2 linked regions of the Caenorhabditis elegans genome follow. The protein of the gene in region 2 interacts with the protein of the main gene of each other region in a biochemical or structural test. Each region holds a gene or a part of one and is shown on either strand. Other genes may lie near its edges.

Region 1 (4,373 bases), on a different chromosome or scaffold from region 2:
ACGCCCAGATTTTGGACAATTTTCTGGAAAAAAATCGAGAAATTTTCGGCTGAAATTGAGCTTTTTCAGTGGAAATTTGGCCGATTTTCGGTTAAAAAAAATAGTAATTTTCAGCCGATTTGGAGCATTTCTTTGAACGGAAATCGGCGAGTTTTTTGCCTAAAAATGCTCAGTTTTTGCCAATTTTTACTCCCTAAAAACCGGTAATTTCACAGCAAAATTCATCGATAAAACAAAAAAAATCCAGATGATATATGTATATATATAGTTAAAATTGTTGTAGTTTCTGCGATTGTTTGCTCCAATTTCCCCATCTTAGAGCACCGTACACTTGCTCTTTTTGGCTCTTTGTGGCGGCGTGAGCACGGCTCGGATCGCCTCATCGAAAACTTGTTTCAGACCACGTTGCGTGAGCGCCGAGCACTCCAGATACTTGACAGCCTTGATTTCCTTTGCCATCACGTAGCCCTGGGTTTGGCTCACTGGTTGGAGCCGGCGTTCGCGGAGCCTGCAAAAAAAATTTTTTTTTTCGGAATTTTTGCAAGTTTTCTCGATTTTAAGCCAATTTTGTTTAATGTGCTTTTTTTCAAAATTTCAAACTTTTGTCCACAATTTATGCGAATTTAGTGCAACTTTTTACATTTCTTTAGCGATTTATCTTAATTTTAATTTTTTTTTCAACATTTTGAGCAAATTTCTCAAAATCTTGCAAATTTTTTTCCAAAATTTTATGTGAATGTTGTGCTATTTTACGCAACTTTTCATACAATTTTTGCAATTTTTTTTCCTGAAATTGATGCGTTTTTTCCTTATTTCTCATTTTTTTGCCGTTTCTAATGATTTTTCTAATGTTTTGGCGGTATTCCTTCAATTTTTAAGTGATTTTCTGAATTTTTATGCGCTTTTTCGAATTTTTTGGCAATTTTTCATCATTTTCTACAAATTTTTCACTTTATTCCTCAATTTTTCTCTCAAATTCTCCAAAAATCTACCGTTCAACAGTATCTCGATCCTCACGCAGATCAGCTTTCGTTCCAACCAAAATAATCGGCGTATTCGGGCAATGATGTGACACTTCTGGATACCATTTCGCACGAACATTCTCAAAACTCGCCGGATTGTTCAGGGCAAAGCATACGAGAAACACGTCTGTTTGTGGATATGACAGTGGTCGGAGTCTGCAAATTTTTTTGGTGTTGAAAAATTGATAATTGGGGTAATTTTTAGTGCAAAGTGCGAAAAATTCCATGTTTTTCGAGTTTTTCACCACAAAATAGCTTCAAAATCACTGTCATTTTATGAAAAATTGGATGAAATTTTCTAAAATGTGATATTTTCCACATTTTGATTGAGGAAAATATCACATAATCCTGAGCAATTTTTTATTGAAAAAACCCATAATCCTGAGTTTTTTCGAGCATTTTCAGTTTTCCCGCTGCCCGTACCGATCGTAATCTTCCTGTCCAGCTGTATCCCAGAGCCCGAGATTTATCGGCCGACCGTCGACCATCACATTTGCTGAGTAGTTGTCGAATACCTGGAAAAAATTTGAATTTATGGGAAAAAAGCATTTTTTTGGGAAAAAGAAGACACCTTTCATATTTTTTGCGGGAAATTGTGCGCTTTTCAAAATTTTCAATTTTTTTGTTGCAAAAAGCCTACAATTTTATTGCATTTTTAAAAGTTTTTTGAATCAAAATTTTCTAGATTTTCCGTTTAAAAAAACTGAAGTTTTTTGAAATTTTCGACATTTTTTTTTCAAATAAAAATACCAATTTTTATATGAAATTTCACCATTTTCCCAGCTTTTGGTATAAAAAATATTAATTTATTGATTTTTATGGGAACAAGTTGACAATTTTCATATTTTTCAGCAAAATTTCGCTAAAAATGTGTTTCTTAAAACGATTTTTGCAGAAAACTTTTTTATCGCATTTTGAAAAGTTTTTTGTCTAGATTTTCCGTAAAAAACGGAAGTTTTAATTTTCATACTTTTCAGTGAAATTTCACTTATTTTTTTGATTAAAAAAATGTACTTTTTAAAACGATTTTTAGCAAAAAAAATTTAATTTAAATTATTTTTTATTTAAATGTTTTATAAATCAAAATGTTCACGATTTTCAGTATTGATAATTTCACTATTTTTCCCAGTTTTTGGCCTAAAAAAATATTTATTTCAATGATTTTTGGATCAAAATACAACAATTTTGAATATTTTTTGCCTAAATTTCTTTGTTTTTTTTTTTCGATTTTGTGTCAAAATGTCCTATTTTCTGAGCCAAAAAACGTAATTTTATCTCAATTTTTGCTTTAAAAATGACTCACCGTCGGAATATATTCTCCGGGAAATGCGTTTGTGGTGTAGGATATCAGGAGACACGTTTTACCGACGGCTCCGTCACCAACGACGACACATTTGATCGCTTGCATTTGTGGGGAGCTCCGCGAGCACAAGCACAAAAAGCTGGAAAAATTGGCTTAAAAATAGCAACAAAAAAAATCTATCAAAAATATTGAAAAACCGCCAAAAATCACGGTATTTTGAGCGAAAAAATCAGAAAAAAATGGGGGGAAAAATCACATTTAAATTAAAATTTTTGTACAAAAAATAAATGAACAAAAAACCTGAAAAAGTCATCGAATTTCGAGAGAAAAGCGAGCTTTTCCCCCGGGAAAAATGGGGAAATGGGTGCAAAATTGGATATTTTAAATGGGGAAAAATCTAGAAAATTGTGTCTATAAAACGGAAAAAAAGAGAGAGAGAGAGAGAACAAACCAAATCACAACGGGCATCAAGACGGAGAGAAAGGGAGTATTAGAGAAAAATGGCGGCAATGGGAGAAATTTTGAAATGAGAAGATGGAAAAATGAGTGAAAACCGTAATTTTTTTGACAAAAAAGTCACTGAAATTCGTCGTAATTTACATGTTTCGGCTGGAAAATCGTCAAAAAAAGAAAGCTTTTTTCGAGGTAATTTTCAATAGAAGCTCCATCATTTTTAACGGGAATTATTGAAATTTACAATTTTCGGCTGAAATTAGAAGATTTAAGTGAATTTTTAACGGAAAAACATGTAAAAAACTTGAAAAATCACGGAAAAGCACCGAAATTTTGATGTTAAACAATTTTTCATCAGGAAAATAAATGAAATATGGAATTTTTAGCTAAAATCGTTTTAAAAAAATGCATTTTTCTCGATTTCTCAGCAATAATTTTAAGTTTTTCGTCAGAAAATCGCTGAAATTCCCACTTTTTATTGAAAAAAGTATTTTTCATCCAAAAATCGAGAATTTTATCGAATTTTTAGCATTTTTATGGACAATTTTTCACGATTTTCCAGTTTTGGTCAAAAAATTAGCAATTTTTTCTCAAAAATTTCCACGATTTTCAATCCAAATTTTATTTAAATTTTAAATAGGAAGACCAGCAGTTCGTCGACATTTCTGCATTGTTGCTCGGTAGATAAATTGCTCTCGGGACACGTCACGAACATGGCGGAGGTATTCGGCAAGTGTTATTTGGCGTTTTTTCAGTGATTGACCTGAAATTTTGAAGATTAGGCAAAAAAAAAATTTCTCATAAATACCATAATTTTTTTTCGTTTTTTTTTTTGCTGGATTTCGGAAAAATTTTTACACCGAAAATTTGCTGAAATTCCAATTTTCAGTCATTTTCAATAATTTTTCTATCAAATTTCCGCAAAAAAAAAACACTTTTGCTAAAATAAAACCGAAACTGATTTTTGAACGATTTCAACAAAATTTTGGAGTAAAAATGGCTGAAAATTGTTCAGAAACTTCCAATTTTTTGTAGTTTTTGTGAATTTTCTAGAATTTAAAGTCAATTTTAACTAATTTCTGTTTTTTTTCGGGGGTTTTTGAATGATTTGTAGTAGTGCTAATAGACGAAATCGTTGAAAAATTTCAGAAAAACGCTTTTAATTTGGCTTCAAATCTCTCAGAAACTTCGAAAAATCTCAACTTTAATTTAATTTTTTTGAAACATTTTCACTAGTTTTTCTTAATTTTCAACTTCTGCATTTTTTGAAAACAATTTTTGCACATTTTCCTCAGGATTGAGCAATTCCAGCTAGATTTTTCCAATTTTTCCCAACTTTTCGTTCCATACCAAGTGAATAAATGACGTCATCACATGTCAAATCTTTCGCATAATTGAGCACAATTTGTCGGTGCAACGGAAAAGCGGCATCAATTGCCTCATCAATTGGTGGAGCATCAGTGCCTCCAGCGTCTGAAAGAGCTTTCGCGAGCTCTGCTTTCTTTGCCGTATAGATTTCACAGGCGGTCTGAAGGCTGCTCCGTTGAGTTTCGAGCTCTTCGAGCATTCTTTTCAGCTTTTGCTGTCCTTCACGA
Region 2 (5,147 bases):
CTTTGTTTTAAATGATTATGAAATATCACTTTATATATCATTTCAATTTGGCGGGGAAAGGGGAGAGGCATCACACAACACAACTAGTGCATCAAAATCAATAATAACCATAAAACAAGGAAAACATTTGGGGTGGGCGGTAAATTGGAGAAAAAAGTCATTTTCATTGAGAATTTGAATATAAATATGAGGTTCAGTAAAGGCGGAAAATTATTCTACTCCTTGGTAATGTGAAGGGTCCATTGCCAGTCAAGATACACATTGTTGTCATCGTCGGTAATTTTCGAGTACACCTTGTACTTTCCACGATGCATCATTCCAGACGGAGCTTCTTCGTTTGGTGATTTGTACTCCTGAATCTCAAGTTTTGGCGCGTAGCTTCCCATCATGTACTTCTCATTCTCCACAGTGATACCGGATCGTTTCACCTTATGTTTGTAGCTGAAACAATTTATTATTTTAAGTTAAGATTAAACACACAAAAAAACTAACTGCAATCCGGACGTAATTTCGCGTTGCACATGGAAAGCAAAGCTTAACCGGTAATTGGAACCTTCTTTGATGGAAACAGACAAGTCAGAGTTGACAAGTTTTGCTGGATCCGATAAGTCAAATGATTGCGCAGTTTTACCATTAATGAGCAGCTCGACGGATCGGACAATCACGCGGAGTGGGTTCTTCTCGTCGACAATGACTGTTCCTTGGCCGAGAAGTTTGGCTTTGTACACTTTTAGAGACTCGTCCTCCTGTAAAAATTTCATACTAAAATGTGATTGTCATTGGATTTTTATAAAAGTTTATTAGGGTTAATAGAGACCAAAATTGTGGCACATTAGGAAAATTCACAAAATGCCCTTTTTCTCATTGTTATGTTGAAGTTTTTCGCTCGGAAATTTGTATAGAAATGTAACAAATAGGGGTGGCTATAGGTCGACCTAGGTCGACCTGCGACCTAGAGGGTTAGGTCGCATCGCGACCTAGGTCGCATTGCGACCTGCGACCTAGCGACCTAGGTCGCATTGCGACCTGAATTACCGACATTTTGTTCTCTTTCGGTTTTGATTCACTTGAGTTGTTAAAATCCGTATAACTCGAAAACTAAAGATTGCAGAATATGTGTATTCCACTAACATTTTCTCTATTAAGATTTTATAAGTTTATGCGTAGTTTTTTTTCAAAAGTACGGAACAAAGAATTCATTTCTACAAATAAAACCATGCATTTCAGCAAATTGTTTCAAAAAGTTCACGTTTTTGTGGTTTTTGTTGTTTCTAAAATTTCATTTTCCACTTTTCGAATTAAAAACGTAGAAAAAAGCAGAAAATCCGGCGGATGTCGGCTGTTCTAACTTTTTTCGACAAGGTGTCTTATGGATAAGAAATCGAAAACAATGTAAAATAAATGATTTGTAGCAATTTGTTAGTATAAAAAATGTCAGTACTTCAGGTCGCAAAGCGACCTAGGTCGCTAGGTCGCAGGTCGCGATGCGACCCAGGTCGCGATGCGACCCAGGTCGCTAGGTCGCAGGTCGTAAAGCGACCTAGGTCGCTAGGTCGCAGGTCGCAATGCGACCTAGGTCGCTAGGTCGCAAGTCGCAATGCGACCCAGGTCGCTAGGTCGCAGGTCGCAATGCGACCTAGGTCGCGATGCGACCTAAATGAAAACAGCGACCTAGCGACCTAGGTCGCACTCTTGCCACCCCTAGTAACGAATATATGCATTTTCCAAAAATAACTCTCCTTTGTATGAAAAGTTTTGGGAAAGTGTTCAAAAACTATCTCAAGGAGGAATATACAGATTATGAGACAGTTTTTGAGAAACTTATCAAAGCTATCGTTGTTTTTGGAAAATACACATATTTCTATATACATTCTCAAAAGAAAACTTTGACACAACAATCAGAAAGAGGTGATATTAGTGTTGTGCCGATAACATTTTAACGGCAGTTCTTTCTACTAATAACAAGTTTCAGGTAGTTTTCAACATCTTGTTAAGTTTTTCTACAAAAGTAAATTTCATTTTCAAAGAAATAAAATATTTTCTATATTTCAGCATTTACTTAAAAATATTAGATTGTCATACCAAAACGAGTTTGCCGGGGTGAATTGCCGCCCGTTGCACTACCTTTTGATTCTATTTTACAATTATCAAACCTAAAACTCGCAGAACACTGTAGCCTGAATGCAAGGATTTTGTGTTTTGAACGTAGCTTGGCTCGGCTTTCTTTGTTTCAATTAACTACTTTTTATTAATAGATCGAAGGCCAAAGCTGTCTTGTGATCAGATTCATCAATCCACATCCATTAGCAATTTCGCAAAATGTTCAATTTTTTTTGTTAAAAATAAATTTAACAAACCTTGTCAGCATTGAGAAGCTCGTCGATGCTCTTTTGTGGTGGTTGCTTGTACTGATATTCGGAGGTGTTTTCACCAGTGTTCTCGTGGTCAGACATAATTCCGCTGAAAAATGGGGGGTAAGCGCTGTCAGAAAAAAGAAGAAGGGAAAGAACCAGAATATTCGAAAACCCAAGAATCGAAGAATTGCAATTATGAACGACTTAAAGAAATGCGAATAAAAATGCGGCCAAAAATGAGTGCCTACGACAAAAACGATTCTGAGGGCAAAGACTCGAACGGTCGAAACCAAAATCTTGCGACAAAAAGAGAAAACGTCCAAAAAAAATAATGGGGCAAATGGGCAACTGGAAAAATACCGGAAAAGAAATTTCATAATCAAACCGAACAACCTCGTTCGAGACAAGAAGAATTAGACAAACACACGGAGAGGAGGGCGAAATGGTTGAACAATGTCAATTTGTTATCTATCCCACCGTCTTTTTCTACTCCTGTGTGGTTTTTCGTCTCCGCCTACTTTTTCTCTTCTTCTTCAAGACAAATTGTTGGTAAAACAGATTTGTGAAGCTTTCTTCTGATGCGATTTCTTTTTTTTTTTTTGCTGGCGTCGCCTATATCATTTGTTTCCATGTACAAGATGGAAAAATCCAATTTCTGGATATATGGGAAAAATACTAAAATGATGCTAAAATCACTAAAAAATTAAAATAAAACTATTCAAAATAATTTGGAAATTTTTTTTATTTCGAATCAAAAACCAGTGAAAACTCAGTTCTCACCAATTTTTTGAATGTCGTTTCTGATTTGAACAGTTCTATTTTTCAGAAAGTGGCAAAAACTTATGCCACTTTTTGACTGACCTTTTTGACCCTTTAAGCATATGCGTATTGTCGAAAATTGACGAAAGAAAACAAAAAAACAAGTTGCCTTAAATCAGTCATTGTAGAAACATATGACATACTGGAGGAGCCAAAAATTCAAGTGATGAGAAGTAGAACAAATGCAACGTCAAGCAAAATAGTCTTCCCTTATCAATTGATTCGTTACTCTGGGAATTTAACAAATGACTCATCATGTTGCTTGCCCAAGAACAAGAAAGGAAGTCGTGCTGCTGAGTAATCGAAAACATTAGAAATTAAACAGAATGATAAATTTCAAACTTTAAATGAACAATTGATAGATTGAAGAGCGAGTTAAAGAAATAACGCATATCATGTCAAGTATTAGGAATCTTCTCGCCCACTAAGAGAGAGAGTCACAAACAACAGACAAATAAATACAGTTCGAGTATGGGTGGATAGTGAAATGAGAGAGAAAAAAGTAGAGTGAGTGACACAAATGAAACACACTCACACTCACACACACACATAAACTTGTGTGTGTGTGTGTGTGCGTGGAAAAATGTTTGTGGAAAACCGAATCGTCGAGGGAGTGGCGCAAGGAAATCGCTGATGGTGGGCGATGATGGTGGTGGAGGAGGACGAGAAGGTAAAAATGTCAAAATCGGGCATTCTAGGGCACCGCTGTGCACTGATTGCGAGGAGCAAGTGAAGCAAAAGCAGTGCGAGAAAATACAGTTCTCGTTTGTTTAAAGTATTTGAACGCGGTTAGTTTTTGGCTGGGAAAGAGAGAGAGAGAGAGAGAAAATCAAAAAGCCTAAGAATTGGACTAATTCAAAAACGTAAAATTGGAAGTGTTGTGAATTTTAACACAGATATAGTGTGGCACAAAATAATTATATTTTCGAAAATTAAAACTTTAAAACAATTCAGTTCCACACCTAAACAAGTTATTTCCACACCTCGGAAATAAAATTGAGGTGGTTACTAATGGGAAACAAATATTTGAAGATCTCTAATGTTATTAGGAACATATATTTGCCAGTAACTTTTCAATTAAGAAAATGCAATGTTTAAGGCCACCCAACCATTGTACCACTGAAAGTCGAAAAAAGAACATTATTTTGGGGAGAGCAAAAAGTTTGTTCAACCGAGAGGAATAATTTATAATCTACAAAAAGAACCTGGAGAACTTTTGAATGCATGTAACTGCATGAAACAAATGAAACAAATAATTTCTAAACGTTTTGCAAAAAGACAACAAATGAAATTGTTTCCAAATTATTTCTGTTCTTAGGGATGGTGTGTTGACAATGGGGAAACTCTCAGGAAATGTAGGTAATAGTTCAATATTTTAACAAATATGAGAAGAAAACTGGAAGCTTCTATCAATAGTGCAAAAAAAAAACTATACAGAAAGTTTTCCAAACACGAAGAGCACAATTACAAAAAAACACAAAGTTGTACAAAATTCAAATTCAGTCTGTTCAGAAAATTTCGTCGATTATGGTGGCAAATTTTTCAATGCTGACGAATTTTGCCAATTTTGCCAAAAAATCGTTCCTGTTTCAATTAAACCTATCAAGATAAATCATTTGAGCACACAAGTTCCTGATAAAACTTATTTCTGGTGCGTCCAAAAAATCATTTCAACAATTTCAATTTTTTATGGAACAAGATCACTGCTTTGATGATCGCTCGGAAAAACTAACTAACTGAAAGCTTGGAAAATAGGCGGCTCGGGTGCACATAGTCCAAGGTGTCATATTGCACCGAGAAAATTATTCTAGAATAGAAACTGGGCAGCCAGCGCACAGAAACAATAAAAATCTGAGCAACTAAAATTTGGTTTTGGTTTTGCAATCAATTCTAAATTCAATACATTTTTAAAACCAAAGTGGAGGAAAAGTGGTGAAATTTGAGAAAAGAGAAATCGAAAGCAAAATTGGCTCG

The links. Proteins that work in one complex are often made in the same cells at the same time.
Region 1: of the proteins of rhi-1 (region 2) and ced-10, one has a biochemical effect on the other in vitro, tested with the Caenorhabditis elegans proteins (one study listed by BioGRID).

Annotation. Positions count from the first base shown.
Region 1 is NC_003282.8:3,507,064-3,511,436, forward strand, and holds the start of ced-10 (Ras-related protein ced-10), read right to left. Parts: upstream 2,465-4,373; 5' UTR 2,431-2,464; coding exon 2,326-2,430; intron 2,046-2,325; exon of another isoform or gene 1,896-2,045; intron 1,538-1,895; coding exon 1,446-1,537; intron 1,179-1,445; coding exon 993-1,178; intron 509-992; coding exon 316-508; 3' UTR 1-315. Other genes in the region: tsg-101 (Tumor susceptibility gene 101 protein), read right to left, coding at 3,411-3,541, 4,129-4,373. UniProt on the Caenorhabditis elegans protein: Required in engulfing to control the phagocytosis of apoptotic cell corpses. Required in embryonic development for the correct positioning and orientation of the mitotic spindles and division planes in blastomere cells.
Region 2 is NC_003284.9:4,505,822-4,510,968, reverse strand, and holds rhi-1 (putative rho GDP-dissociation inhibitor), read right to left. Parts: upstream 2,461-5,147; 5' UTR 2,454-2,460; coding exon 2,358-2,453; intron 747-2,357; coding exon 493-746; intron 442-492; coding exon 216-441; 3' UTR 24-215; downstream 1-23. UniProt on the Caenorhabditis elegans protein: Regulates the GDP/GTP exchange reaction of the Rho proteins by inhibiting the dissociation of GDP from them, and the subsequent binding of GTP to them.